Macaca mulatta: one gene and its partners. The protein of the gene in region 3 binds, or shares a complex with, the protein of the main gene of each other region. Links are inferred from orthologs where the notes say so. Each region holds a gene or a part of one and is shown on either strand. Other genes may lie near its edges.

What was found.
Region 1: the proteins of RAB9A (region 3) and NDE1 are in contact, whole or in part, in a crystal structure (PDB 7E1T), measured with the Homo sapiens proteins. The link is inferred for Macaca mulatta from reciprocal best matches to the Homo sapiens genes RAB9A and NDE1. Residues at the interface, in NP_001182257.1 of Homo sapiens: Ile40, Val42, Phe44, Asn46, Gln59, Trp61, Arg68, Phe69, Ser71, Leu72, Pro75, Phe76; in NP_001137451.1 of Homo sapiens: Asp99, Gln102, Thr103, Ala105, Ile106, Gln109, Leu110, Tyr113.
Region 2: the proteins of RAB9A (region 3) and SGSM1 are in contact, whole or in part, in a crystal structure (PDB 4QXA), measured with the Mus musculus proteins. The link is inferred for Macaca mulatta from reciprocal best matches to the Homo sapiens genes RAB9A and SGSM1. Residues at the interface, in NP_062747.1 of Mus musculus: Phe37, Thr39, Ile40, Gly41, Val42, Glu43, Phe44, Leu45, Trp61, Arg68, Phe69, Leu72, Phe76; in NP_766306.2 of Mus musculus: Leu256, Leu257, Tyr258, Gly259, Lys260, Asn261, Asn262, Tyr277, Asn294, Met297, Asn298, Gln361.

Annotation. Positions count from the first base shown.
Region 1 is NC_133425.1:16,420,663-16,430,577, reverse strand, and holds the start of NDE1 (nuclear distribution protein nudE homolog 1), read right to left. Parts: upstream 4,978-9,915; 5' UTR 4,938-4,977; exon of another isoform or gene 4,820-4,937; intron 4,309-4,819; exon of another isoform or gene 4,058-4,308; intron 1-4,057. UniProt on the Homo sapiens protein: Required for centrosome duplication and formation and function of the mitotic spindle. Essential for the development of the cerebral cortex.
Region 2 is NC_133415.1:26,301,815-26,311,246, reverse strand, and holds part of SGSM1 (small G protein signaling modulator 1), read right to left. Parts: intron 9,095-9,432; coding exon 9,027-9,094; intron 8,150-9,026; coding exon 7,986-8,149; intron 7,803-7,985; coding exon 7,670-7,802; intron 3,009-7,669; coding exon 2,844-3,008; intron 626-2,843; coding exon 487-625; intron 1-486. UniProt on the Homo sapiens protein: Interacts with numerous Rab family members, functioning as Rab effector for some, and as GTPase activator for others. Promotes GTP hydrolysis by RAB34 and RAB36.
Region 3 is NC_133426.1:13,330,235-13,340,310, reverse strand, and holds the start of RAB9A (ras-related protein Rab-9A), read right to left. Parts: upstream 5,907-10,076; 5' UTR 5,529-5,906; intron 1-5,528. UniProt on the Homo sapiens protein: The small GTPases Rab are key regulators of intracellular membrane trafficking, from the formation of transport vesicles to their fusion with membranes.

The DNA of each region.
Region 1 (9,915 bases), on a different chromosome or scaffold from region 3:
CAAACATTATCCTCTCTAAGCTGTGCAACTGTAAGAGATGGCTAAACAGGACAACCGCTCTGTTTCTTGGAAGCAGAAACACTGTAGGCCTTGGTCATCTCTAAATGTGCATGTGAGCAGCCGAGGCAAACTAGATCCAAGTTCAAGGGGTCTTTGCATTCAAGTCCAAGGCTTCCCAGGGGTTGCAAACTGACTGACTGGAGATTAGATTCACTTGTTTCATTTGGCCCACACAGTCTTTCCTTTTTTTTTTTTTTTTTTGAGTCAGAATCTTACTGTGTTGCCCAGGCTGGAGTACAGTGGTATGATCTCAGCTCACTGCAACCTCCGCCTCCCAGGTTCAAGCGATTCTCCTACCTCAGCCTCCCTAGTAGCTATGATTACAGGTGCACGTCATGACACCTAGCTAATTTTTTGTATTTTTAGGAGAGACGGGGCTTCGCCATGTTGGCCAGGCTGGTCTCAAACTCCTGACCTCAGGTGATCTGCCCGCCTAGGCCTCCCAAAGTGCTGGGATTACAGGTGTGAGCCATCGTGCCCGGCCCTCACACAGTGTTTTAAAAGGCACTGTAATAGACAGGTGTTAATACCTGGTCTCAGTATATGCAACTTTGCGCCTGCTATCTTAAAAATGGATCCCACGCCAGGCGCGGTGGCTCAAGCCTGTAATCCCAGCACTTTGGGAGGCCGAGACGGGCGGATCACGAGGTCAGGAGATCGAGACCATCCTGGCTAACACAGTGAAACCCCGTCTCTACTAAAAAATACAAAAAAAAAACTTAGCCGGGCGAGGTGGCATGCGCCTGTAGTCCCAGCTACTCGGGAGGCTGAGGCAGGAGAATGGCGTGAACCCGGGAGGCGGAGCTTGCAGTGAGCTGAGATCCGGCCACTGCACTCCAGCCTGGGTGACAGAGCGAGACTCCGTCTCAAAAAAAAAAAAAAAAAAAAAAAAAAAAGGATCCCACAGGCATTTATTTCATCTGTGTGCCACTAACCTGCATTCTTAATACACCATCACACCATCAGCTCTGCCCCAGCAGCTCTGTGGACAAATCTGATGGGAGCATGCAAGAAACAATGACAAACTAGGACCCAGTGGGACAAAAAGTATCTATTTTGCACAACTGAGATCTATGCCTCCTTCAAAAATTTGTTTCTGGCCAGGTGTGGTGGCTCACGCCTGTAATCCCAGCACTTTGGGAGGGTGAGGTAGGCAGATCACTTGAGCTCAGGAGTTCGAGACTAGCCTGGGCTACATGGTGAAACCCCATCTCTACCAAAAATACAAAAAACTAGCCGGGTGCAGTGATGCACACCTGTGGTCCCAGCTACTCAGGAGGCTGAGGTGAGAGGATCACTTGAGCCTGGGAGGCGGAGGTTGCAGTGAGCCAAGATCACCCCACGGCACTCCAGCCTGGGTGACAGAGCGAGAATCCGTCTCAAAAAAGAAAAAAAAAAGTTGTTTCCACATGCTTTTTTTTTTTTTTTTTTGCATGTTTTACATGATTAAAGCTAAGAAAAAAGTCTGAAAATACACTTGAGACACACACCTCTGATTTTAAAACTCTGGAAAAAAAGCAAAGCAATCTCTTTCAGCTTTCCTCTGAGAGAAGAAAGCCAGCACAGCTAGTCAGGAGCAATAAACATAAAGAAACCATCAATAATTAACTCATCACCCTTCTCCATCCCCACTCCGTATCCTTCCCAATCAAAACAAACAGAAGAGCGGGAGGGAAGGGAAAGAAGCTGCCAAATGTCCGTACATGCTCCGACAGCCAGGACGCAGGCTTTGCATTTTGCAGAAGTGACATCACTAGGGTAACATCAGTCAAGAGTCAGCAAGCCTGGCTTCTGTCTTTGTGCTTTCCAAGTTTATAATGATCAGCCTACAAAAATACTTAGGCCGGCAAGGATCCATGTTCAAAGATGCACACCATCATTCACTAATGTGGAAAACTGGAAACCTCAATGTCAACAGAGGACTGAATGGAAAACGATGCAGTTGTTAAGAACTGTATGTACTAATATGGAAGAAAGCTCACGATATGTTACAAATGGGTGCCCATTTTTGTTTACTTCCCTCTCTCTGCACACAGAATAGAAAAGGGTCTGGAGGATGCACCAGAATGGGGGTAAAGCAAGCCCTGTGGATATGTACCTGACACACTGCTTTAAGATACACTACATATACATCTATACAGTAAGCACAGATTGCTTTAGAGATTTTAAAAAGCTTAGGCCAGGCGCCGTGGCTCTCTCCTAACCCAGCACTTTGGGAGGCTGAGGCAGAAGGATCACTTAAGCCCAGGAGTTCGAGACCAGCCTGGGCAACATAGTGAGACCCCTATCTCTACAAAAAATTTTAAAAATTAGCCAGGTATGGTGGCATGTACCTTTAGTCCCAAATACTTGGGAGGCTCAGGCAAGAGGATTGCTTGAGCCTGAGAGGTCGAGACTGCAGTGAGCTGTGATTGCATCACTGTGCTCCAGCTTGGGCGACAGAGTGAGACCCTGTCTCAAAAAACAAACAAACAAAAACTTGGACAAAAAATAAAATAGCTATTGTTCCAGGATAATTTTATTCTACTGAACCAAGTTCCAGGGAAAGAATTTTTCCTACCGTGGTTTTGCCTCCTCCATCCCTTTTCAAACATTTCTTGAACACATACTAAGTGCTGGGCACTGCTTAAGGGGGCAGACGGAAAGCACCTACATCCATTGCACGAGGTACACACATAGTACTAGCTGCAGGCACAAACTTTCTGTACACAGGCATGCTCATGTTAGGAAATTACCTTGTGAGGAAAAGGAGTGTCATTTCTCAGTTCACACATTCTAAGGCAAAAGAACACACTTTGGGCTGGGTGCAGTGGCTCATGCCTCTAAGTAATCTCAGCACTGTGGGAGGCCCAGACAGAAGGACTGCTTGAGCCCAGGAATTTGAGACCAGCCTGGGCAACAAAGCAAGATTCTGCCTCTACATAAAAAAAAAGAATAATGATAGGGTCGGGTGCAGTGGCTCATGCCTGTAATCCCAGCACTTTGGGAGGCCGAGGCGGGCAGATCATGAGGTCAGAAGTACAAGACCAGCCTGGCCAAAATGGTGAAATTCCATCTCTACTAAAAATTAGCTGGGCATGGTGGCACACACCTGTAATCCCAGCTATTCAGGAGGGTGAGGCAGAAGAATCACTTGAACCCGGGAGGCTGAGATTGCCGGGAGGCTGAGGTTGCAGTGAGCCGAGATCGCGCCACTGCACTCCACCCTGGGCAACAGAGCAAGACTCCGTCTCTAAATAAATAAATAAATAAAATAAAAGAATACACTTTGGAAACAAAAATAACATCCAACAGAATAAGTCAAGTTAATAAACTGTTATCCAACATGGGATAAAATATATGAATCAAAGGCCCCTGAGACTTCAGCGGCACAGATCATCTGCATTTAATCCTACACAAAACACACACTAAGAAGAAAGGCTCAAAATGGGTTGTAGGCTGGGAACGGTGGCTCACGCCTGTAATCCCAGCACTTTGGGAGGCTAAGGCGGGCAGATCACGAGGTCAGGAAATCGAGACCATCCTGGCTAACATGGTGAAACCCCATCTCTACTGAAAAATAGAAAAAATTAGCCGGGTGTGGTGGCACGCACCTGTAGCCCCAGCTACTCCAGAGGCTGAGGCAGGAGAATCGCTTGAACCCGGAAAACGGAGGTTGCAGTGAGCCAAGATAAAAAAGCCACTGCACTCCAATCTGGGCGACAGAGTGAGACACTGTCTCAAAAAAAAAAAAAAAAAAAGGGAGGGGGTTGTATACCAATGAGGTGATGGAGGCTGGGGTGGTCGGGTAACAAGAGGCTTCGGGAATAGCTGGAATCTAATTAATCTTCAAAACACCCGACCCATGCCCTAAAATACCATCCTGTTCTAGAATACACTATAACAAAACTAAAAATGATGAACCTGCCCAGGTCGTGCTGCAAAGGCCTTTTCTTTAAAACGTTAAAAGGGGCCTCGGGCTCAAAGTAGAAATTAAGAGACATAACCTGGTACTAACCACGGACAAAGCCATCAAGGAAGCTCAGGCCCTCAGGAGGCAGAAAGCCTGAGATGGCTCAGAAAAGATAAAGTCGCCTCCCCAAAAGCGATGTCAAGGTGACAGCGGGGTTTCCCAGGACCTCAGAGAGGCAGGTGAGCCCAGCCATCACTCAAGCTGCGGAATAAGCATTTTCGTCCTTTACCCAATCCGTCCCCAATGTGCTGTCAGAAGAAACCCGAACCGTCCTGCGGCAGAGACTGGAGCAAAGCGAGAGGAGACTGCCCCAAACATGTTCCCGGAGGGAGGGAGCGGGGGGAGGTTTTTGGAAAGAGGCCTGCAGGGGCGGGACAGTGGGTGTGAAGGCAGGGGTAGCGCTGCAATCGGGGTGTCTAGGGTCGCAGGGAAGGGGGTGGCAGGATGGAGGGGTAGGAGAGAGAAAGAGAAAAGAGACGAGGGGCATCTAGGAAAGGAGTATGGGGAGGGAGGAAGAGGAGAAAGAGGATGGAGCCTGGCAGCGGGGGTTTGGGGAAGGGCAAGGCTGAACCACCCAGGAAGTCCCGGAAGGAGGAGAGGGCAACCGGGTGGAAGAGAGACCAGCGCAGAAAGAGAAACAAAGTTGCCAAGGGCGAGGGGCGGGCGCGAGGGACGCACGGGTGGCAAGGCACTCAGTGTCTAACTTTTTAGGACCGGAGGCTCCAGGGAGGCGGGATTTTGGAGCCCGGGGACCGGGGGAATCCAGGCGGCCGGGAAGCGACCCGCAAGCCAGGGGCGTGGGGGTACCTGCCAGGCGGTGGCCCGGGGTTCCGGGGTCCTGGGGCGGGGCAGAGGAGCCTTCCCAGTTGCGGAGGAGGTCCCGGGCAGCCACCCCGACCCCAGCCCGGCGCAGCCCCGCACTTACCGGTGCAGGCGCGGCGAAGACAAGGCGGCGGCGGCGGCGGCTGTGAGGGGCGGTGCGGCCCCGGCCCTCCGGACCCCGCCCCCGCCCCGGAGCCCGCAGCCGGCGCCGCCCATTGGCTGCTGCTCCACGGTACCGCGTCCGCCTTGGCCAATCAGCGCAGAGCAGCGTCGTTTGGAAACTTTTTTCCCAGGCCGGGCGCGGCGGGGCCACGCGGCGGAGGCTCCTGGCCCGAGGGGGGCTTGGGAGGCGCCGGCTGCCGGGCGCTGGGCTGGGGCGGGCGGGTCTTGGAGATGCTGCAGGACGCTGCCTGGACACCCGGGAAATGGGTTTGGGCTTGCGGGCCGCGCATTTCAGGAAAATAAGCCGGCCTCTTCTTCACTCCGATTGCATTTTCCCGTTTTTGCACTTTCCCCAAATCAGAAGGAAAGACAAAGATTCAGGCCCACTGGAGCTAGCAGTGCCCCGTGCCCTTCCTACTCTTTTACATCCAAAGTGAATCTTCAGCATCATTATCTTCTCCAGAGGCAAGAGAACTTAGTGCACAAGAATTTGGTCATAAGCTTGGCTTTGAGTCCTAGCTCTGCCCCTTACTAACTGTGTGATCTTGGGAAAGTTGTTTGGCCTCTATGATTCCGTTTCCTCGCCTCTATGACTCCGTTTCCTCATCTATAAAACGCCATTATGGGTCTGGCGCGGTGGTCACGCCTGTAACCCCAGCACTTTGGGAGGCCAAGGCAGGTGGATCAAGAGGGCAGGAGTTCAAGACCACCCTGGCCGACATGGTGAAACCCCGTCTCTACTAAAGATACAAAAAATTAGCTTGATGTGGTGGCGCGCGCCTGTAATCCCAGCTACTCAGGAGGCTGAGGCAGGAGAATCGCGGGAACCCGGGAGGTGGAGGTTGCAGTGAGCCGAGATCACACCACTGCACTCTAGCCTAGGCTACAGGGCAAGACTCCGTCTTAAAGAACAAACAAACAAAAGACAAAAAAACGACATTATGCAGAGGACTAAATGAGTTAACAGCATTTGTAAAAACGTTTACAACAGAAATTTTAACATAGTAAGTACAATATATGTATTTGTTAAATAATCTTGATTTTATTTATTTATTTATTTTGAGATGAAGTCTCCCTCTGTCTCCCAGGCTGGAGTGCAGTGGCCTGATCTCCACTCACTGCAACCTCCGCCTTCTGAGTTCAATTAATTCTCCTGCTTCAGCCTCCCGAGTAGCTGGGATTACAGGCCCACATCACCACACCTGGCTAATTTTTGTATTTTCAGTAGAGGCGGGGTTTCACCATGTTGGCCAGGCTGGTCTCAAATCCTTGACCTCAGGTGATCCACTCACCTCGGCCTCCCAAAGTGCTGGGTACAGGCATGAGCCACCGCACCCTGCCTGATGATCATGATTTTTAAATGTGTGTGTGTGCCAGGCACAATTCTCACAGCAACCCTAATTGTTTACTAACAAATTTAAAAAGAATTTTTTTTCTTTTTTTTTGAGACGGAGTTTCCCCTCTCGTTGCCCAGGCTGGAGTGCAATGGCGTGATCTCGGCTCACTGCAATGTCCGCCTCCCAGGTTCAAACGATTCTCTTGCCTCAGTCTCCCTAGTAGCTGGGATTACAGGCGCCCACCACCACGCCCAGCTAATTTTTTGTATTTTTAGTAGAGACACAGTTTCACTATGTTGGCCAGGCTGGTCTCGAACTCCTGACCTCAGGCGATACACCTGCCTCAGCCTCCCAAAGTGCTGGGATTGCAGGCGTGCGCCACCATGCTTGGCTGGAATTTTTTTTTAACTTTTCTTCCAAAACATCTTGTCATAACATGTTCATTAACAAACATGGAGCATTCTGGTTAGTGGGTACAAAAATAGAGTTAGAATGAATAAGATGTAGTATATGGAAGCACAAGAGGGCTACAGTCCACAACAATGTATTGTACATTTTTAAATAACTAAAGGAGTATAAGTGGAGTGCTTGTAACACAAAGAAAGAATAAATGCTTGAGGTGATGGACACCCATTTACCCTGATGTGATTATGATGCATTGTATGCCTGTATCAAAATATCTCATGTACTCCATAAATATAAACACCTACTGTGTGCTCATACAAACTAAAAATATGTATATTATTATCCAGCTTTTTTTTTTTTTTTTTGAGACAGTCTCACCCTGTGACATAGGCTGGAGTGCAGTGGCACAATCTGCTCACTGCATCCTGGACCTCCCAAGTAGCTGGGACCACAGGTGTGCACCACCACACCCAGCTAAGTTTTACGTTTTTGGTTTTTTTTTTTTTTTGTAGGGACGTGGATCTCACTATGTTGCCCAGACTGGTCTCGAACTCCTGGGCTCAAGGGATCCTCCTGCCTCAGTCTCCCTCCCAAAGTGCTGGGATTATAGGCTGAACCACAGCACCTGGCATTATGAGCATTCTTCTGTACAATGCACCCTTACAGCACAGTGAACACGTCAGACAAGGTACCTGGCCTCAAAGGGCTTATATTGTTAACAGAGAAACACACTAAATCCATAAGCAGAAAAAGTAACATTTCAGATCTTGATAAGTGCTATGACTAAGGCAAGCTCGTTTGATAGAAAAGGGCTGGGAGGGGTCACTTCAGATACTATGGTCAGGGAAGGCCACTATAGAGAGGCAACCATGCAATTGAACCACAGATGATGCACCATAGGAAAGCATTTTATTGTATCCATGTTAAAGATGAGGAAATAAAGGTGCAGGAAGTTAATTGAGTTGCCTGAGGTCTTACAACTAGTAATTAACAAATCAGGCTTCAGAGCTGGCTCTGACTCCTAAACCCTCCTTCTGTAGCACTATGCTGGAGGCAAAGAGATCTTAGCCATTACAGGGTCTCCCACCCCACTCCTGCCTTCCTGCTGTCCTTAGAATAGCCTTTCTCAAATTCTACTTTGGACTCCTTGCTAATTCCTAAAAACTGCTTAGAGGCAAAAAGGGGAACCCCACCACCTATCAACAGGCTTAAGGAAAGTACCAAATGTCTTTCAGGAAACTTCCCAAACATAAATGAATCATTTACATCCTGCTTCACACTTTACTACCTCTGATGCCTTGCCCCTTGGAATTTTATTTTATTTTATTTTGAAACAGAGTCTCACTCTGTTGCCCAGGCTGGAGTGCAGTGCTGCAATCTAGGCTCACTGCAACCTCCGCCTCCTGGGTTCAAGAAGATTCTCCCGCCTCAGCCTCTCAAGTAGCTGGGATTACAGGTGTTCACCACCATGCCCAGCTAATTTTTCTATTTTAGTAGAGACGGTGTTTCACCATGTTGGCCAGGCTGGTTTCGAACTCCTGACCTCAAGTGCTCCAGCCGCCTCAGCCTCCCAAAGTGCTGGGATTACAGGCGTGAACCACCACACCAAGCCTCCCCTTAGGAATTTTATTATTTACTTATTTATTGAGATGGAGTCTCACTCTGTCACCCAGGCTAGAGTGCAGTGGTGCGATCTCTGCTCATTGTAACCCCCACCTCCTGGTTCAAGTGATTCTCCTGCCTCAGCCTCCCAAGTAGCTGGAATTATTCCCCCCTTGGATTTTTTTGTTTTATTTTGTTTTGACAGAGTCTCACTCTGTCACACAGACTGGAGTGCAGTGGCGCGATCTCAGCTCACCGCAACCCCTTCCTCCTGGGTTCAAGCGATTCTCCTGCCTCAGATTCCTGAGTAGCTGGGATTACAGATGTGTACCACCATGCCCAGCTAATTTTGTAGTTTTAGTAGAGACAGGGTTTCACCACGTTGGCCAGGCTGGCCTCAAACTCCTGACCTCAACTGATCTACTCGCCTCAGCTCTCCCAAAGTGCTGGGATTACAGGCGTGAGCCACTGCGCCTGGACCCCCTTGGAATTTTATTTGGCCCTAACCATTCTGTGAGGTTTCTGGACAGGAACTAATCACCTCACCTTACAGAGAAATTGAAGCACAAACTGATGAGGTACTGGTGTTGCCTAAATGGCTTTGATCAAGGCATTTAAACTAGTTGGTTCTCAATTTCCCAAATTTTCCATAAAGAAAAAAGAGAGGGCATTGAAATGATAATCATTAAAGTCTTATTTGGGAAAAACATTTAGGGAAATAGGTTTGTCATTGGGTAAAACCTTAAAAATGAAAGGAGCCGGGCGCGGTGGCTCAAGCCTGTAATCCCAGCACTTTGGGAGGCCGAGACGGGCGGATCACGAGGTCAGGAGATCGAGACCATCCCGGCTAATACGGTGAAACCCCATCTCTACTAAAAAATACAAAAAAAAAAAAACTAGCCGGGCGAGGTAGCGGGCGCCTGTAGTCCCGGCTACTCGGGAGGCTGAGGCAGGAGAATGGCGGGAACCCGGGAGGCGGAGCTTGCAGTGAGCTGAGATCCGGCCACAGCACTCCAGCCTGGGTGACAGAGCCAGACTCCGTCTCAAAAAAAAAAAAAAAAAAAAAAAAGAAAGGAAATTTTTGGTGTACTTTAAAATGTTTCTCTTGTTCTTTTTAAATTCAATTTGTTTCCCTTGTAGCTTTGGAATATGGCTGAGCAGATAACTCAATTTAACTTCCTTAGGTACTTCCATGATCATTTACTAATTCAAACCACTGAACCTAACACAGGCAGAAGATTGGTTTCTGGGGAGAAACTCCTTTAATAACAGCTTGGTTAGTTGAAAAGCTGAATTGCATGTAAAGTAGCTACTTAAATAGCACACACAAAAGTCTTTCGGTTTTAATAAATGTGAAGATTATAATTTGGACAGGGGAAAAACTGAAAGTTACTTGTACTCTCTAAAGTTTTCCCAGCAAAGAAATAGGATTACAATTAATAGAGGGTATATACTTAAAACGTATCTTAAGAGAAAATTTATGTATTTTGATTCATAATTGTCTCCTTTCAAGGGCTACTATTCTTTGCTTAGGCTCATAGTCTTTAGAAAGCAGCAATAAAATTACATTTCTTT
Region 2 (9,432 bases), on a different chromosome or scaffold from region 3:
GTATGGTAGGACTGCACTTGCTGTCCCCTTGTGGATGGGGCCAATGGGCTGTGAGTGGATATGACATGTGCTGCTTTTGGGCAGAGCCTTTTTATTGTGGGTTCCAACCTCTGCAGTTACCTTTCCCTGTCACTGTGACTGGCAACATTCAAGATGGTAGCTGCTCCATTGCCCAGGCCCTTTAGTGTGGAAAAAATAGCACCAGATGACCCATGATAGAAACACAGCATGCACGAGAAATAAACTTTTGTTATAAAAAAGCCACTGAGATTTTAGGACTGTTTGTTACTGCACCATAACCTTGTTTATCCTGACTAATACATGTGACCCTCTAACAGCTAGGATTTCATGGCCAGGATTTAACCTATATCTGCCTGAGTCCACAGGTTATTTCATTCTGAATTCAGTGCAGGGTAAGATATGGGCATCTACAGATTTCTGGTACATCCTTCAGCTCCCTCCATGTGCAGCTCAGGCTCCTCATACCTCTCGTGGTTGCAGCCATTGGTTGAGCCACCATCAGCCGAGCCACTCTGTGAACAGGAGGAACAGGAGGACTTCCGGGGACTGGGCTGCCATAGGGATGGGAGGTTGCTCACGGAGACATCCATCAGATCCTGGGGCACTGTGGTGGATAGAAGGAGGGGCAGAAGAATCACCCTGGTTAAGCCTATGTGGGTCACAGAAATCTCACCCCAGAGCAAGCAGTTCACCCGCCCCAGCCAGCACAGAGATAGGAAAAGACCCTGAAGGTGACAGTAGGAAACAGCAGCCCCGAACATCCTTGAGTCTACCTGATCCAATGAAAGCCACCACCAAAATCTGGTGGCCCTGAGAGATGGGCAGAGCTGATGACAGCCAAAGAGAGAAGAAGAGGACACAGAGAGCCAAGAGCCAAGGAAAGAGGCCCAATCCCAGAGCAGGAAGCCAAACCTCACCATGTTGTCACTTAGTCATACTAACAGGATGCTGCAGGAGGGAAGGGGAGGCTGCTGGATGATTCTGGAGAAGAGACAGGCCTCACGGGTGAGATGGAAGGGAGCCTGACTTAACAGATGAGGCAGGGCACCCAAGTGCCAGAGACCCAGTGAAGCCCCTGCTGATGAAGAGGGCACCTGCGCTGTCCATGGTTCTGAGGCTAAAGCTGCTCCACCAAGTGGGTCTCAAACATATTAGCGACTCCCTAAAATCATGTGGGAGGCTTGTTAAAAAGCAATATGACTGCCTCACACTCTGGCCTACTCAACTAAATCCTGGAGACAGAGCTCTCAAATCTGTATTTCTAAAGCAATTTCGATACAGCAAGTACATTCAACAGACTCTGATTTCCCAACTTGTGGACACTGGTGATTCCTGACCAGCCATTCTTAGGATACAGCACTCATAGCTTCCTTTATTTTTCTTTCTCAGCTTCGTAAAAACTGCAGTGTCTACAAAGCCACATAACAAACATACTGGGGACACATGCATTACAAATTCTATAGTCAATTTCCTGGTCTCTTGGTAGTCCTAGACAGGCGCAAAAGCTTTATTTTCTTTAAAACAGGGACCCATAAACTTTTCCTGCAAAGGGACAGCTAGTAAATATTTTAGCGTTTGCAAGCCATTTGGTCTCTGTCATAAGCACTTGACTCTGTTGTTGTAGTACAAAAGTAGCCATAAACAAAATGTTAAAAAGGAAGCATGCGCACATTCTAATAAAATAAATAAAACTTTATTTATAAATAGTGAAATGTGAATGTCATATCATTTTCATGTCATAAAATATTACTCTCCTTTTGGCTTTTTTGGATCATTTAAAAATTGAAAAACCATTCTTAGCTCATAGGCTGGTATAGAATGGGGCTGAATTTAGCTCACGAGTCTTAGTTTTCTTTTTCTTTTCTTTTTCTTTTTTTTTTTTTTTTTTTTTTTGAGATGAAGTCTCGCTCTGTCATCCAGGCTAGAGTGCGGTGGCCAGGTCTCAGCTCACTGCAAGCTCCGCCTCCTGGGTTTACGCCATTCTCCTGCCTCAGCCTCCAGAGTAGCTGGGACTACAGGCGCCGCCACCTCGCCTGGCTAGTTTTTTTTTTTTTTTTTTTTGTATTTTTTAGTAGAGACGGGGTTTCACCGGGTTAGCCAGGATGGTCTCCATCTCCTGACCTCGTGATCCGCCCGTCTCGGCCTCCCAAAGTGCTGGGATTACAGGCTTGAGCCACCGCGCCAGGCTGAGTCTTAGTTTTGTAATCCCTGTTGTAGGAAGTGAAGAGAGTGGCACACCCATATGTCATGGTCCCCACAGGACAGCTGGTAATACCCTGACTCTTCCCTTGGGCCCCAAGGTAAGGGGGAGTTGTGGAACTGGTCCTCTGGCCGTCAGCGCTCCGTAGCTGACAAGGTCAGCCCCTACCCACTGACAGAAGAGGAAGCTGCTATATGATGTAGTTCTCGCAGCCACCAAATGTGGCTTGTTACACTATTCTTCCCCATGTAACTCACCCATGAGCTAGCCAAGGAAGACCAGTAAGCCCCTGTAAAATGTTCTAGAAAAATAGCCCCAGTTCTTAGCCAATCTCAGGGGTGCCCTGACCAGTTTAGCCCAAGCATGGTAACCGTGCCTTCCTCCGTCTCAGCCTCTCACACTCGCATCCACACAGGTAACACCAATTGATCCCTTTGCTACTGAACCTACCACACTGCAAGCTGCCTTCCATAGGGTGGAGGCTAGACAGCAGGAGGGCATCAATCTCTCTGTCTCCATCTCCCTTCCTGCCTCCACCTCCCTTGGGACCAGGACTCAAATGACAACATGGCAGAGGTGGCTGGCACCCAGCCCCCAGGGAAGGGGAGATCCCAGACATTACTGGGGGGCTGCTCCTTCAGGCTCGGCGTGGGGAGAGTAGTGTCCCATCTGGCTCGCTCCCACTGACTCCCTCTGGCCACCACCAGCATGGACTGGCCTGCAGGAACCATCATCCAGGCAGGGCCCACAGAGATGGAGGAAGTGCTGCCCAAGAGGTCGGGGGCAACTTGAGATACAAAACAGAAAGAACCAGTGAGGTGGGGGTTCGGAGCCATCTCAGGACACTGAGATAGCTGGAAGAGTCCGTTTCTGGGGGCTCCAAACCTCCCCCTCCCTGGCTCCACACAGATCCCACATATACTGTGTTCAATTAGAAGAAAGAATGCCGATTTTTATAACGTGCCTACTATGTGCTGAGTGTCAGGCTAGGCAGTTTGCGACCTGAGCAAACCTAAGGAAACCAGTTATTGTCCTTCACGACCCTGTGAGGGATGCATCCTTCCTCTTCCACTTTGCAGAAGAAGAAACTGAGGCTCAGAATGATGGCACAACTTAATCACCCAAAGCCCTGCCAGGCAGTAGGCCATTTGCAAGTCATCCCTCCTTGCAAAATGGGGGATGGTGATGACAACCTGCGAGGGCTATGGTGAGGACGGAATGAATTAAGATAAGGACATATCTAGTCTTTTTTGACCGAAGTCCCTCTCCTCTTTCCCCTAACAACAGCTGTCCCTACTGAGTACAGTACTATCATTATCCCCTTTTACAGACTGGAAAACTGAGGCATGGAGAGTTTAAGCAACACGCCCAAGACCACCCAACTAATAAGCAGAGGAGCCAAGATCCCAACTCAGGGGATTTGACTTTCTTTTTTTTTTTTTTTTTTTTTTTTTGAGGCAGGGTCTTGTTTTGTCATCCAGGCTGATGTACAGTGGCACAGACGTGGCTCACTGCAGCCCTGATCTCCCAGGCTTAAGTGACCCTCCATCTTCAGTCTCCTGAGTAGCTGGGACTACAGGCACGTGCCAGCATGGCCAGCTCATGTTTTTAAAATTTTTTGTAGAGATGGAGTTTCGCCATGTTGCCCAGGCTGGTCTCAAATTCCTGGGCTCAAGCCATCCTCCCACCTCAGCCTCCCAAAGTGCTGGGATTACAGGCGTGAGCCACTGTGCCTGGCCTGAGGACCTGACTGTCATCCTACTCTTTCTACCTCAGCTGGTTTCTCATAGGCACTTCTCTCCACACCACCTGTTCTCAACCTGGGCAATCCTGTCGATGTTTGGAGACACTTTGGGTTTTCACGCCTTGGGGATTAATTAGGTGCTACTGTTGTCTAGTAGCTGGAGGTCAGGGATGCTGCTCAATATCGTACACAAGGCAACCCCCACACAAGGAATTATTCAGCCCTAAATGTCAACAGTGCTGAGGCTGAGAAATCCCACGCTAGACCAGCACTATCCAATAGAAACACAATCAAGGGGCTGGGAGGTGGCTCACTCCTGCAATCCCAGGACTTTGGGAGCCCGAGGCGGATGAGTTGCTTGAGCCCAGAAGCTCTAAGCCCAGCCTGGGCAACATGGCAAAACCCCATCTCTACAAAAAATCAAAAAAAAAAGTAGGCAGGTATGGTGGCTTGTGCCTGTGATTCCAGCTACCCAGGAGGCTGAGGTGGGAGGATCAACTGAGCCCAGGAGGTCGAGGCTGCAGTGAGCCACGATTGCACCACTGTACTCCAGCCTGGGCAACAGAGCGAGATTATATATAATCTTTATTTACAAAAACAGGTGAATGGGCCGAATTTGGCCCATGAAAAGGGGTTTGTTGACTTCTGATTTAGGCCCTCTTTCAGAAAGAACTTCATACCTCTCACAGATAGAAACCTGTCACAGATGGAAACCGTAAGATGACTGTTTTTGTTAAGCCTGTGAGGCTCAAGCCCCAGAAAATCAACCAAGGATGCGGTTGCCATTTCCATGTGGGTTGAAGCTGACCTTGAGAATGAAGGCAGTGAAAGCACAATGCCTGCTCCCTGCCAGTCAAAACGATGCGCATGGAGTGGTGGTTACAGGCACAGGCTCTGGAGCGAGACCTCCTACGTTCAAATCCCAGCCATGACAAGAATTAGTTATGTGATCCTGGACTGGTCGCTTAACCCTTCTGTGAATCAGTTTCCTCCTTGCAAAATGGGGGATGGTGATGACAACCTGGGAGGGCTATGGTGAGGACGGAATGAATTAAGATAGGGACAGCGGGACAATGGACAGAAGTGGGCCTGGCACACAGTGGCACTCAAGACACGATATCTGCTATTGCTTACTAAGCATCTGCCAAGCGCCAGGCCCCATGTCAGGTCACCAGGTGTTTTAGGAATGATCTTGCTGATTCCTCAGAATATGATGCTGGTGGGGAGTGCTGTTACCCCATTCTACAGAGAAGGAAGTGAGGTCTGCGGAGGACAGGTCACTTAACCACACCGCAGTGGCAGAGCTCAATACAGTGATGCATTCTTTTCTCTAAACCAATGGCTCTCAACCAGGGGCAATTTTGCCACCCTTCAGAGGACACCTGACCATGCCTAGAGACATACCTGGTTGTCACAACTTAGAGCAAAGTAAGTTTGCTACTTGGCATCTAGCGGGTGCTCAACATCCCACAATGCACAGGACCACCTCCTACAACAAAGAATTATTCCATCCCAAATGACAGTAACACTAAGGTTCAGATGTCCAATTCTAGATAAACTGAATTAGTTGGGTGTTTCCTCAAGGGCAGATGAGGATCCAAGTGCAAGTTCCAAAGGCACATCAGTAAGGGAGGGGCAAACTGAGACAAAACAAGAAAAGGGGAGGGAGTAAAGGGTTAGTCGCCAAGCAAGTTACCAATAGAGGTAACTATGCTTAATCTCCCATGGAAGCTCTAGGAGTCTGTGCAGAACATGTATGTCAGAGTTTGCCTCACAAAGGGAGAGGGAGCTGGGACATTGATACACTAACTCCTATCAGCCATGAGCTGAGGGCTGCTCCAGGGAGGCACTGGTTCCCTGATGCTTCCAAATATGCCCCATCCCTGGCCAGAAGGGACTCTTGCGGCCAGAGAAAACCCTCAGGCAAAGAGATACTGAGACAGAGAGCTGCAGTTGGTAGCTGAACAGCATGCACAGAATGAGAAATGCTGAGGTTGTGGGTGAGCACAGCCAGTGTCTGTTCCACTGGCCTTCATCAAGCCACAGGAGGATGACATGGAGAATCTCCAAATAAACTAAACACCCAGCACTCTGCCTAGCTCCCAGCGGGAGTGTGCACATTGCCTGTTGGATGAGAAGCTGTGGAGTTTCCTGGGAAGGCAACTACAGGGGATCTAGCCCTCTCTGATAACAGGCTCTCAAGTGGAACTCTTAATGAATGTTGGTCTTCACAGGGGTGGGAAGCCCAAGTTCTCGGGCAACAGGACAGTAGCTGGCTCAGCATCCCAAGGGATTTCACCCTCATACATGGAGCCTTTTCAGCCTTGGGGCCCACAAGAGCCTTGGTGTCTGGCCAGGATTTTGAGCACCTGGTTCCATGGAGTGGCTGGGAGGCCCTGATCCAGGGCAGGAACAGACATAGTCATGTATACTTCAGGACACTCTGTAGTGCTTAAGGGATTCCAGCCTTGTCCAGGAGGACATCTGCTCTCAAAAGAGCCTCTCACTGCCCAGCACGTGGCTGCTTCAGCAAAGGGAGGCTCAGAGCCATTATCCTCGGATGGGAACATCAGGGCCGCTGCATGTTAAATAAAATGAAGTGAACAGAAAGAGCCTACCACTCAATACTGATTTGTTTAACAGACACCCATACCATGCTTCATAAATGCCAGGCCCTCTTCTAAGTACTTTTCAAATCTTAATTCACTGAATCCTCACAATAGCCCCGCAATGATGACGCTCTTAGCAGTAAGAACTTCCATTTGCTACGCATCTGTGTCACGAAGGCACCGTGCAACCTGCTTGCCATTCACCATCATCTCATGTGCTTCGCCTCTATTGGTGTCAAGTTTGACTACAACTTACTGAGGGCCTACTGTGTGCAAGGCCTTACTCCATGAGCTCTACGATGAATATTTCATCATCTCATTGACTCTTTATAATAACGAGAAGTAGAATATTAACAACAACAACATTTGAGTATTTTGTATGTGTGTGAAATGCCTGATCTCATTTTAAAAATATTTTAATTTGCATTTATTTTGAGACAGGGCCTCACTTTGTTGTCCAGGCTGGAGTGCAATGACACAATCACGGCTTATTGCAGCCTCGACCTCCCCAGGCTCAGGTGATCCTCCCACCTCAGCCTCCCAAATAGCTGGGACCACAGATGCATGCCACCACACCTGGCTAATTTTTGTATTTTTTGTAGAGACAGGGTTTCGCCATGTTGCCCAGGCTGGTCTTAAACTCCTGGGCTCGGGCAATCCAAAGTTCTCCCTCCCAAATTTCGGCCTCCCAAAGTGCCAGGATTATGGGTGTGAGCCACCATGCCCGGCCGCCTTACCTCGTTTGATCCCCAGAATGACTTATGTAACTGGTGCTATGAACATACCCATTTTACAGATGAGGAAACTGAGGCACAGAGGGCTGAGATGACTTGCCCAAGTTCAGCCAGGATTCCAGAACCTATGCCATTGCCACTACCCCAGGCCACCTCTCCTAGTGTCTTTATTAGACAAGTAGAGGGTGGTTATTGTTCTTATTTGGGGGGGAACTGAGGCTACCAAGAAACCAACTTTGTTTCCAGATCTTCCTGTTAGCCCCAGAATCCAGACCTGTCATCTTCTAGTTTTAAACACCTGGAATCATTTTCAGCATCAGTTAGCAGGTGACTCCCCAGGGCCCGGGACAGAGCAGCTCACCGAATTCCGACTGCATGCCAGGGTAGATGATCCTGAACACGTAATCCGTGGCCTCGTCATCGTCTTTGTCTGAAGATGTGGACTCGGCAGAACCCTGAGGGCTTCGCTTGCGTAGTTTAGGAAACACTTTGCCCTGCAAGAACATGTCCCAAAGCAAGATCCTTGGGACACACCTGTCCCCACAACTTGCTTAGTCTGAGGGTATCAGTGGGGAGCGCATGAGGCCACACAGCCACATAAGGGCACACAGGCAAAAACAACCACTCTCTGTGACCAGCCTCCACCCCAACCTCCCCGGGTCCCCATGATCACTCACCTTACCCCGCTGGGACCACAGTGGCGGGTCCAACTGCCCATGCGGGAGCAGCCCATTCTCCAGGCACGAGAGGAACTGCAGGAGGTGCCCACCCTTGGGGAAGCGGAAGGGCGGCCTCTGGATCCCGTCCTGGCTGACCAATACCACTGTCCCGCCGCTGTCCACTGCCGCCACCAGCAGCCAGAGAAGACCCATTGGGAAGTCACTATGAGGCACAGTGACAGCCCCTTCCTGCAAACACATCCCCCAGGGGTGCCAAGCCAGACCCAGGGATCCTGCTCTGAGGCTCTGGGAAAGGCCTGGGCAAAGGTCAGGAGCAGTTTTTACCTCCCCGGAGTCTCTCTCATCTCACCCACCATCCACCTCTGACTGGGGACTACAGGACAAAGTCAAGAAGAACCAAGCTGACCTTCCTGACATTAACCACCAAAAGAAAAAGATGCCCCCTAGCACCCTACGCTCCTCAGGAATCCTTTACAAATCTACCCGACCTATTTTTGTATGGAAGCCTTCAACGTCCCCTGTCTCCGGACAGTAGCTGACTCTGGCTAGCATGTATTGAGCACTTACTGAGTACAACCACAGCATGTTAGAGGCACTGTCTTATTGAAATACAATATCCCTAAGAGTCCTATCTATTATTGCCTATTTTACAAATGATGAAACCAAAGCTCAGAGAGGTTAAGTAACTTCCCCCAAGGTCACACAGCTGATCGATGGCAGAGTCATCTAAGCATTATCAGTGCTTAGTGTCAGCAACTAATGCCATAGCCATAGGTGGATTTCATGCTGAGCCCTTAACATCCATCATTTCATCTTCACAACTACCCCATGAGAGGGTCCTGTTGTAATTCCCATGTTACAGATGGGGAAACTGAGGTACAGAGAGGCGAGGTCCCTTGCCCAAGGTGGCACAGGTAATATGGGGTGTCCACCATATCACTGTCATACAACGCTAATGAATAGGCAGGGGTGGAGACAGGCAGGCGATCCAAGAGGATCAGAGGATCACAGCCCCCTTCCTGTCCCCACAGTCCCTACCTTGCTGGTGGCAGTGCAGGTAGACAATCTCCTCCAGGCGGATGGTCATGGCATAGTCCCAGTAGACGCTGGAAGTGGAGGGACGGTCAGGCTTGCAAGACTTCTACCTACCCCAGTGTGCAGAGAGGCTCAGACGCCAGCAGACCACACCCAGGAGCTCCTCCACCCTTCCCACTAGGTCCCCCGCATGTGTGTCCCATCCTGCCCAGACTCTATCTCCCCTTCTTCTGGTCTCAGAACCCCAATTTTCCGAGGTTACCATCGTCCCTACCCCCAGTCCATATGAGAGGTGAGGTGGACCCCACCCACTCTCCACCCTGGGACTCCAGGAATGGCCACCTGACCCAGGCCTGGTCAATCAACCTGTCCCACTGTTCCAGCCACAGTGTTCAGTGCAGGACTGACT
Region 3 (10,076 bases):
AAATCACCTGCAAGTTGGACACTATCATCCATGTTTTATAGATCAGTAAACAAGTCCACAAACTTCCCCAGGTCTAATTAAATAGGGCAGGTCAAGTATGTGTTATCTTCACTCCCACCCAGTGACAGAAAAGGTCTACATAAGGTACAAATCCAAAAAGGACACCAAGAAAGAACAACTGTAGATGCAAGACAGCAACAAAATTTAGAAAGTGGAAAGCAAATGGTCTGGGAGTGACAGAGTGAAGAGACAATGAAACCTAATACGGAAAGCAGCAGCCAACAATGAGAAAGCTGATTCCCACCAGACAACTGGAAAAGAACTGAACAGCACACGGGCACTTCTTGAGACTTCTCCAGACAGGCCGGGTCCGGAAGCTCAAGGGGTCCCCGAAAGGCTGTAGATTCCATGACCCACATCCTTGTGCCACCTTAGCAGACCCACTTCATAAAGTATTGCACCCAGTAGAAAATGGAGAGAAAGCACAAAGGAAAGTGGAGCTGGAGGGACCATCTGCACAGGAAACCTCAACTGCAGTCTCTTTCCTCTGTGTCCCTCCCCTCAGTTTAGCAACTAAAAGGGTAGCATCCCAAAACTGCAAAGCTCTGGGGGAAATGAGGGGCCCAAGGGAAAAGCTTACAGATACTGGAAGGTGGGATGGAGAATTAAAAAGGGACTTTGATGCCTTTTCTCCTTACCGCTAAACCTTGTAGTCCATAAACTAGAGCCAATAATACCAACTTCTAATCCTAAGGTTCCCAAACTGCATGCTGAGGTGCCCCAAAGCATCATGGCAAATTCACAGGGGCAGGGCAGGCTATTTTAAATTCTGAGGGAAACACGGATACTTGACATTTGTAGGGCACCACACTGGAGGGGAGTTAATTAGATTGTGCCGCATTCCTTTCGATGACATAATATCTTCATGAAGCTAGGTTTTCCAAGACTGCTGTGATAAAAATCAAGTACTGGGCACAAATTAAAGTGGATTATGAGGGTGGCAACTGTTTGCTCCCAAACAACCATTTTTAAATGTTATTTAAGAATATTAGCACTCATTCCAAAGAACATTCTGCATTCACCAATGGGTAGTCCTCAGGCAGTTCTGATCTGACTTCCAACCACATTATGTATGTATTTCCAGGTATATACATCTGATCAAATACACAGGTGTGAAACTGCACAGACCAGGGCAGTCACCTAGCTGCATAAACACTCCTATCTGTTAGAGTTCTGCACAGCAAGTTCTAGAAACAGAAGTCTGTAAGGCTTTTTTTCCCCCAGGTTTTTCCAACGCTGAGAACACAGACAGTCTTATTCGCACTAACCTTTCGGAAATTACCTTAGCTTCTGTACCCAAAAATCTAATCCAATTCACACGAACTTGAAATTAAACTACAGTAGTCAGTTCAACTCCTTTATACTGCTTTGCTCTCTGTCACACTTGAATAAAGAATGTGGCAATGAAATGAATATGTCCAGTTGTTCTATAGTGTTTCTCCATCCCCTGTCAAACAACAGAATACGTTTGTACAAGTCAGGCCTAAGACAAAAGTGGAGTCTGTGTCCACAGACTCCCAGAGAACTCCTGGAGAATGCAATGAGCTGGCTTCCATGCAGCCAGAATGTGAAGCCGGGACAGCCTGTTTCACTTCTCCGTTTTTTTTCACACCCAGTCTCTCTCCACCTCAGGCAGATCCAGCTGTTACCTTACTTACATTCATTTACATCTATTCATCCTCACTGTACTCATAATAAACAACAGTGTTCCAACGCCTGAACTCATCACGGTCAAAAATTAACAAAAGGATTGGAAAAATCCAGAATGTGGAAATACCCAGAGCACACAGGTTCACAACATGCTCAGTATCAAGAGTCATGTTGAGAAAGAGAGATTTCTCCTCCAAGTTATCTAACTAGCCCTGGCACTCCTGGGCTCTCTGGCAACATGGCCTGGGACCGCCTCCGACCTCCCTCCCCTCTGCCTACACACCTAGGTGGCTCCAGGTCTCCTCCCTCAGGCATCCTCGCCTTCCAATTGCATCATAGCTTTCCGCCAAACTCCCTGAAACATTTTTTGAGTTCACCCTCACTCCTCTATAAAAAAAGTCCTTAATAAATGTTCTCTGTTGATGGCCTACTTAGTCACAAATCCTATTCTCTTACGCTTGGTTTTGACTGATGAGTTTATTATCTATACAGCTTTCAAGTTAGATGCGTTGCCCAAACACACACACACTTCCATTTGGCTTACTTCCTCCTGCTGCTTAACTAACACATTGCCTGGGCAGAACTCCTTGGAAGCTAATAATTTGCTGCCTCTACTTTGTGTCATATAATCTCCTAGAGATTATAAAGCACAGCCATCTCATTTTACCCAGAAGGAAATGTGGTGACCTAAGTTGGGCGGAGGAGTAAGCCAATTAATGATCAAACAAGACAACTCTGGCACCAATTTCTCTCGACCCTTCCCAGAATAAAACATGTCACTTTTGTCAGATTCCGTGTGTATGCACTAGCAATCATTTTGAGGTGTGTAACTCAACATCCTCCCTACCCCATAGCAGACAACTCCTGAAGAGGCAGAGAAATCTATTCATCAGCAAAGAACGTGCTGTGTATTGGCATGAGTCAAAAACCAAGCTACCGACAAAAAGACGCCATGTTGATTGCATGAATAACACTCACAGTGATGCCTAAAAAGAGATGCGATCCTTTTTGACTGCTCCAGTCAACCATTCCCTCCCAAAGTTCACCTAATTCTGCCACCAGAATGAAGCAGTACATATTTTGAAAGGTCTGCTCTTAAATAGGCATGAAAATGAAAAAAAAGACTGGAAAACACCAGAAAGTTATGGCAAAGTCATTTAAAAATTCATCATTTATTTCTTGATTCCAGTGACAAAATGCAGGCATAACTATTTCTCTGGTGAGGTGAAATTTAAGGATGAATTTTATGCTCAACAAGAATGGCTTCTCAATTGGATTCCTGTAAATATTCACACGTGGTTAACCGTACAAAACTGTAACAAACACATCAAGTTTTCCCCATTTCATCTAAGTCTGCCCACAGTAAACACCGTGACACAGGTACTTCTGTGCCAAGTGTGGAGTTGTTTTCTTTAATTATTATTTTTTTTTTTTAGCGACAAGGTCTCACTCTATTGCCCAGGCTGGAATGCAGTGGTGCGATCATGACTCACTGTAGCCTTGAACTCCAGGGCTCAAGTCGTCCTTCTGCCTCAGCCTCCAGAGTAGCTGGGACATGCACCACCACACTGAGGTAGGCTAATTTTTTTTTAAGTTTAGTTTTTGTAGAGACGGGTGTCTCACTATGTTGCCCAGGCTGGTCTCAAACTTCTGGGCTCAAGTGATCCTCCTGTGTGGGTCTCCCAAAGCACTGAGACTACAGGCATGAGCCACCACACTCAGCCTGTTTTGTTTTTTTTTTTTTAAATGAACACCTGGCCCCTGTCCTTGAGTAGCCCAGGCAATAAATTCTGTTCTAGGATGATGTCAGAACCTAATCTTATGACTGTGATTGGACTGTAAGTTTCAGGAAGGTTAGGACTCCCCACTGCCCTTCTCATCAGCACCTTTGTATCAGTGCCCCACAGGCTGCTCAGACAACTGAAATAATGCAGAAACTAAACTGTCTAAGTCCACTTTAATGGCTCTGAATAGCTCTAAAGTTCTTTTTGTCATTTTTGCCTTAAAACAAAAAACAGATTCTGCTACCAGAAATTATTTGCCCCCTTTATTTATTTATTTATTTTTTGAGATGGAGTCTCACTCTGTCGCCCAGGCTGGAGTGCAGTGGCGTGACCTCGGCTCACTGCAATCTCTGCCTCCCGGGTTCAAGTGATTCTCCTGAATTCAGCCTCCTGAGTAGGTGGCATTACAGGCATCCGCCACCACGCCTGGCTAATTTTTGTATTTTTAGTAGAAACGGGGTTTCACCATGTTGGCCAGGCTGGTCTCGAACTCCTGACCTCGTGATCCACCCACCTCGGCCTCCCAAAGTGCTGGGATTACAGGCGTGAGCCATCGTGCCCAGCCACTCACTCTTTAATCTTTCAAGTAAATATGCTTCTCAGTAGAGAGAATTTTCCCCTGCTCACTGTTAAAATGATGAAGTATCCCAAATAGGAATATGACATTGCATTTGAAAAACTACAAAAGCAGTTGAAATGTAAGCTCTGAGATTACTCGGACTGCTGAAAAGCAAGGTTTCTCAACTGTGGCACTACTGACATTTTGGGCTAGACAGCTCTTTGTTGTGGGGGGCTGTCCTGTAGGTTATAGAATGTTTAGCAGCAAAAATTAAAAATTAAATAACAAAAATAAAAATAAAAAAGAATGTTTAGCAGCATCCCTGGCCTCTACCCACTAGATGTCAGCAGCACCTCCCTTGCCCCCAGGTGTGAATCAAAAATGCCTGCAGACATTGCCAAATATCTCCTAGGAGGACAAAATTGTCCTCTCTTCCACTTGAGAACTATTACTCTAAAATTACCCAGATCTGCTTTGAATCCCCGCTCCACCCCATCACAACCTGGGTCATCTTGGAAAACAGACTGAACCTTCCTATGCCCCCCCCCCAAATTCCTCAACTGTATGGAGCTCTTACTGAAGAAATGCTATGAAAATTAAATGAAATGATGTACGTACAGGATTTACACGCACAGAATATTCACCGCGCCAGAAATGAGGGGAGGCTAAAAAAAAAAAAAAAATTTCGAGAACTCAAAAATCTTATCTTTAGGCCTCCAGAGTACTGTAGTCTAGACAGAAGAAATGGTTGAGATAGAAACAAAAAGAGATGAGAGAGGTTGGAAAAGAAGTGATAGAACTAAGGTATTATTCCCCTTATCTCTTAAGAACCCGGCTTGGAGTCAAAGCCAATAGATGTTCTACTTAGTTTTTGCCTATCTACTCTAACATTCCAAATAATAAACGAAAAATATGCCCAGATCCCAAAAGTCTCCAAAAGAGAAACTTTGTAGTATAAACGAGGAATTTACTACAGCAGACACAAAAATACTAAAAGCACCAGACTTCCACAGCATTGTCTTAGATTTAGGAATCCAAATAACACACTGAAGTTCTAGAGAAGCAATCATGATAACTGCATAATCTTCTAAAGGAAAAACTAAAGGCTGGCTTCTTAAAAGTTCCTAACTGAATCGTTCCAGGTTTCTTTATCTCTAGTTTTGCTCCACTGGACAGCTTCTGAGAGTACAGGCAATGTAGGGATTTTCCATTACAATGGTGTCAGAGACCAAAGGACAAACACATTTTTAAAAAAGCAATCAAATTCTGCCCATTGATTTTTATCAGGACGCTAAAATCCTATGAAAAGACTTTGGTCACGTGCCGATTTGGAAACTAGCAGAAAAGTTATTCCTCAAAAGAACTGTAGTCACGAGATGTGTCATCCCTTACAAAAAAAAAAAAAAAAGGCAATACATCCACCAACTATTTATTAAGTTCAGCACGTAAATTTCTCATCTTGCCTTTTTACTTACCGAGTTGGAAGAAAAAAGGGAACGCGATCGTGAAACGTTAGCCAGCGTCTGAATCAGATACTGCCCCCAAACCTCCTGCAGCCTCTAAGATTGGCTTTACTTTCCGAATTCCTCACCCAAGTGGTCATAAGACATCGAGCAAACACGTTCTGCTTAGGTGGAACTTCAGAGGTCGCCAAAATCAAGTCGTGGGAGCGCCTTTGTTTTCCCTACATTAATCACTCGGGTGTAGGATTTGGTTTGGGGACTGTGGATGTGCGTCCCGGAGTGCTTGGGGAAAGGCTGGCGTGTACGTGTGTTCCCAGGTGACTGGGTGTATTTCTCCGTGTGTATGTGCACGGGTGTCCGGGCTTTTGTATCTCCCTCTCTCCAGTGTTTGTATGCGTCCCTGTGTGTGTGTGTGTGTGTGTGTGTGTGTGTGTGTGTGTTTCCGTGCGTCCCTCTCCCCAAAGGTGTGGGGACCCGTCTTTCCTCCTGCGTCAGACAGCAGGCAGGGAGACAACCAGCCGTCCTCGCTCCCGGGGCGGCCTTGTGACCCGCGCTAGCCCCGCGCGCACCGCACCCCACCCCAGCGGCCAGAGGCCCTAGCCGCCCCCTCAGACCCCGACACCCGCGCGCTCCGCCCGGCCCCGAAGGAGTCCTGAGTCCCGCTCACCTCGCGGCCACACGGAAGACGAGCCGGGAGCTCTGAGCCGGCCCGTCTGGGTGCAATGAGGACAGAGAGAGGGTCGGGGACCTGCACAGCAGGAGGCAGCGAAGGTACCGCAGCCAGGTTCCAGGTCCAGCTGCTCCCGTCCAGCGCGGAGGGAACAACATGGCGACGGGCCGGGGCGGGGCGATGAGAAAAGCAGGGCGGGGCCCCGGGAGGCGGGGCCTGGAAGGCGGGGTCCCGCGGCGGAGGCCCTGGGAGTGGGGCCCGTGGGAGGTGGAGCCGAGGCAGGCGGGGCCTGAATCGTGCTTTTCCTTTGGGTCGATTGCTCCTCGAGTGTCCTCCCGTCTGTGTTCGGGCGAGAGCGAGTACGAAATAACTGTCATTTTGAAAAGTTTACGTAAAGTGGAAATAAACAGACCTCATGAGCACAGTCACAGGATGTCGTGATTACAATGATAAAAACGACTAGGCAAACGGACAAAGAACAAACAGGTAGCTGAAAAATGAAAACAGTTGTGATATTGTGGAAAAACAAGAACTTTTTAAATGAAGCTATTAAAACTTTCCTTTAATCTTGTTAAAATACTGCCTCCGTCATCTCTAAATAGAAAGCGATGGTGCAAAAGTGGTACTGGAGAAGCTCTCCTTAAGTCCTTGCTTTATGTGTGAAGTTGAGTGCATGAATCCTATGATACAGAACCCTGAAAGTGGGAGGGACTCATAGTGACATCTCAATACATTTAATTTGTTTGTGATTTAGTTTGTTTATCAGAAAACCAAATACTGCGTATTCTCACTTATAAGTAGAAGCTAAATGATGAGAACGCATGGTCACATAGGAACAACAGACACCAGGGCCCACTTGAGGGTGGAGGGTATGAGGAGGAAAAGGAGCAGGAAAAAAACTAGGTATCAGGTACTATGCTTGTTACCTGGGTAACTAAATAATCTGTACACCAAGCCCTCGCAACAGGCAGTTTACCTACATGACAAACCTGCACATGTACCCCTAAACCTAAAATAAAAGTTCTTTTAAAAAGATTTAGTCTGTTTATTTTCCAAGACAAAGATCTCACTTTTATGATGTTGGGGCCCACAACAATTTAAATAATCTCCAGTTCTCTGGGGAGTCATTTTCAGGTAATGACTTTTCATTCAGCACTAGAAAGGTCATATTTGAGAAAGTTTCTCACAAATTAAAAAGGCAATTTTAGAATGCTTCTGAAAACAACGCATAAGCTTAAATAATTTTTTTCTCATAGATAGAAATCTGTTTCTTATCTGCAGGTCACTTCCCCAAGGAAATATGTATAAACGTTTATAAAATACAAATCTGTTAAATTGGGGGGAAGAAGAGATATACATTATCATTTTTAAAACACACATTAAAAGTACACCATAAAACATTATATATGAATATTAGAGTTAATTTTCCAATAGAAAAAAAGTCATGTACCTTGGGCCAAATTGCAACAAGCAATCCACAGGATAATTAAGGAAATGCTACCTGAAAATCATACATCCTAACCATAGTCAAGGAGTGATAAAATAGGAGTTTATCTGTGCAACTGCTAATACCAACTAGCTATTAACAAGTGATCTCATGAAATTATTGTATTTTGAGTTAAAGTAAACCTTGACAAACCCAACAGCTTTCATAAAAAATGTTCTAAGAAGGTCCCATGAGTGACTCTTAGGCTGTTCCAAAATGTTAGAAGGCATTCAAACACATTTGAGTGTAGCTTATAGTACCTTAAGAATAAGGAAAGTTACCTTCTCTAAAGTTACTATCAGTTGGATACTAGCCAACTGACATTTAAGAATGTTAGTATATTCTGGTCTCTTCCACCATTCACTTCTTAACCACATTTCTATGTCAGTGCAAGAGTAGAGTGGGTTAAAAGATTTTTCTCTGAAGGGCAAGTTTGGGGGTTTTTGTTGTTGGACGTGTGTGGTTGGTAAGCTGATGCAAGTTGGATAAACAGTTGCTATCTCTCTTGCTCCATAAACTTGTTCCTTGATGAAAACATTAAAGAACTAACCTAGTTTGACTCCCTTCATCTCACGAAGATTTTCATCTTTATATTCTGTAAACACCAATGCATCACTCATGGGAGAGAAAGAGGCCAAGGTTGCTATGCATAAATGATTCTTTTATTTAAATGACACCTACTTATTACTATGAGTCCTGGGAGTTAATACCCCATCTCAAGCTGGAGACTGAAAGAAATCACTTCTGGCATCTCTGATGAAAAGCTACAAGTGGCCAGGCGTGGTGGCTCATGCCTGTAATCCCAGCACTTTGGGAGGCTGAGGCGGATGGATCACGGGTCAGGAGTTCGAGACTAGCCTGGCCAACATGGTGAAACCCCATCTCTAGTAAAAATACAAAAAAATTAGCCGGGCGTGGTGGCGCGTGCCTGTAATCTCAGCAACTCAGGAGGCTAAGGCAGGAGAATCCCTTGAATCCGGGAGGCAGAGGTTACAGTGAGTCAAGATCGTGTGCCACTGCACTCCAGCTTGGGCAACACAGCAAGACTCTGTCTCAAGAATTTAAAAAAAAAAAAAAAAAAAAAAAAGCTACAAGTAAGTGGGCCCTAGACTCAGGTAAAGTAAATACTGATGATAATTGGACTGCTTTTACTTTCACGTACGAGGAAAAACACAGAACTCAGTTGTAGGCCATTTCACCATTATATTACATATGTAAATAGTCACAAATTCGATATTTTTCCAAAGTTGTTTGGCCGAATAACAGATTTGGTCATAATGTTGCATAGATGTTCTTCTATAGCCATACTAAGAAGGGGAAAAAGCATAAAATATACATAAAAGTAACTCAAAATTTGTTATATTTGGCTTTAAAGTCAAGCCAGAGTGAAAATTCTTAACAACATATAATGTTAAGTGAAAAAGAACATTACCAAATAGTATATGGAAGAAAAATTCCAATTTGGTTGAGGAAGCATTTTTTATAATATATAGCTTTTCAACATATATTGATGTATTTAATAATGCATTTATTTATATACTTACATATTTATATAATATGTACATCTTCAATATTTTATACCAATGTCACACTTATCCAGTTTGCCTAGATACTAAGTCAGCATGTTTCTTGCACGAATATAGAACTTTTGATAGTGATTCTTAAGTCAGATAAAATTTCAATGTATAAGGAAATGCCAGAAATCGGATTTCTTCACCGCTATGCTTAAAAAGGAGTTCTCAAGCAAAAATGAATAGGGGCATCATCCTTAATCTAGATATCACCAGTGAGCAAATTTCAGAATTTCCAGACTCAGATTGATGTAAGCAAATGAAAATTCTGGCCCTCAACCAAATAAAACATATATTCTTTCATGAGTCCTATGAATTCTATCCAGTGGACACTGTCAAATGGCAACCTGGGTGTCAAAAGCCATTGCCATGCTTCCTTCTGTCAACCTACACACTGTCAGAAGGGAGGCAGGCATGGGAGGCAGGAGCCAACACAACTCACACCTCTCAAGTTTGTGGGTAACCACCACGCTCACCCAAATCCCTCCAATGCCTGCAGCATAGACAGACATTTACTGTCTCTTCCCTTGGGTGATTTTAAGATTTGCAGGAAATGAAAAGTCAATTCATGTTAATACTTATTTATTCAACAAATATATAGTGAGCGTGTACGCTGTGCTAGGTGCTGAGAATACAGCAGTAAATAAGACATGGGAGGAATTCAGGGGGCGTCCCCAGCCACCATCCTCTTCTCTGAGGACAAACACCCTCCTCCACACTTTGGCTCCCATCCACCAGCTTTTTAAAAAATGTTATGTGACTTTATCTTGGTTAACAAAATAGATTCAGTTCCTTTTCTAGGAGAGCTTAGAGAAGATTAGAGGAGGCATTCA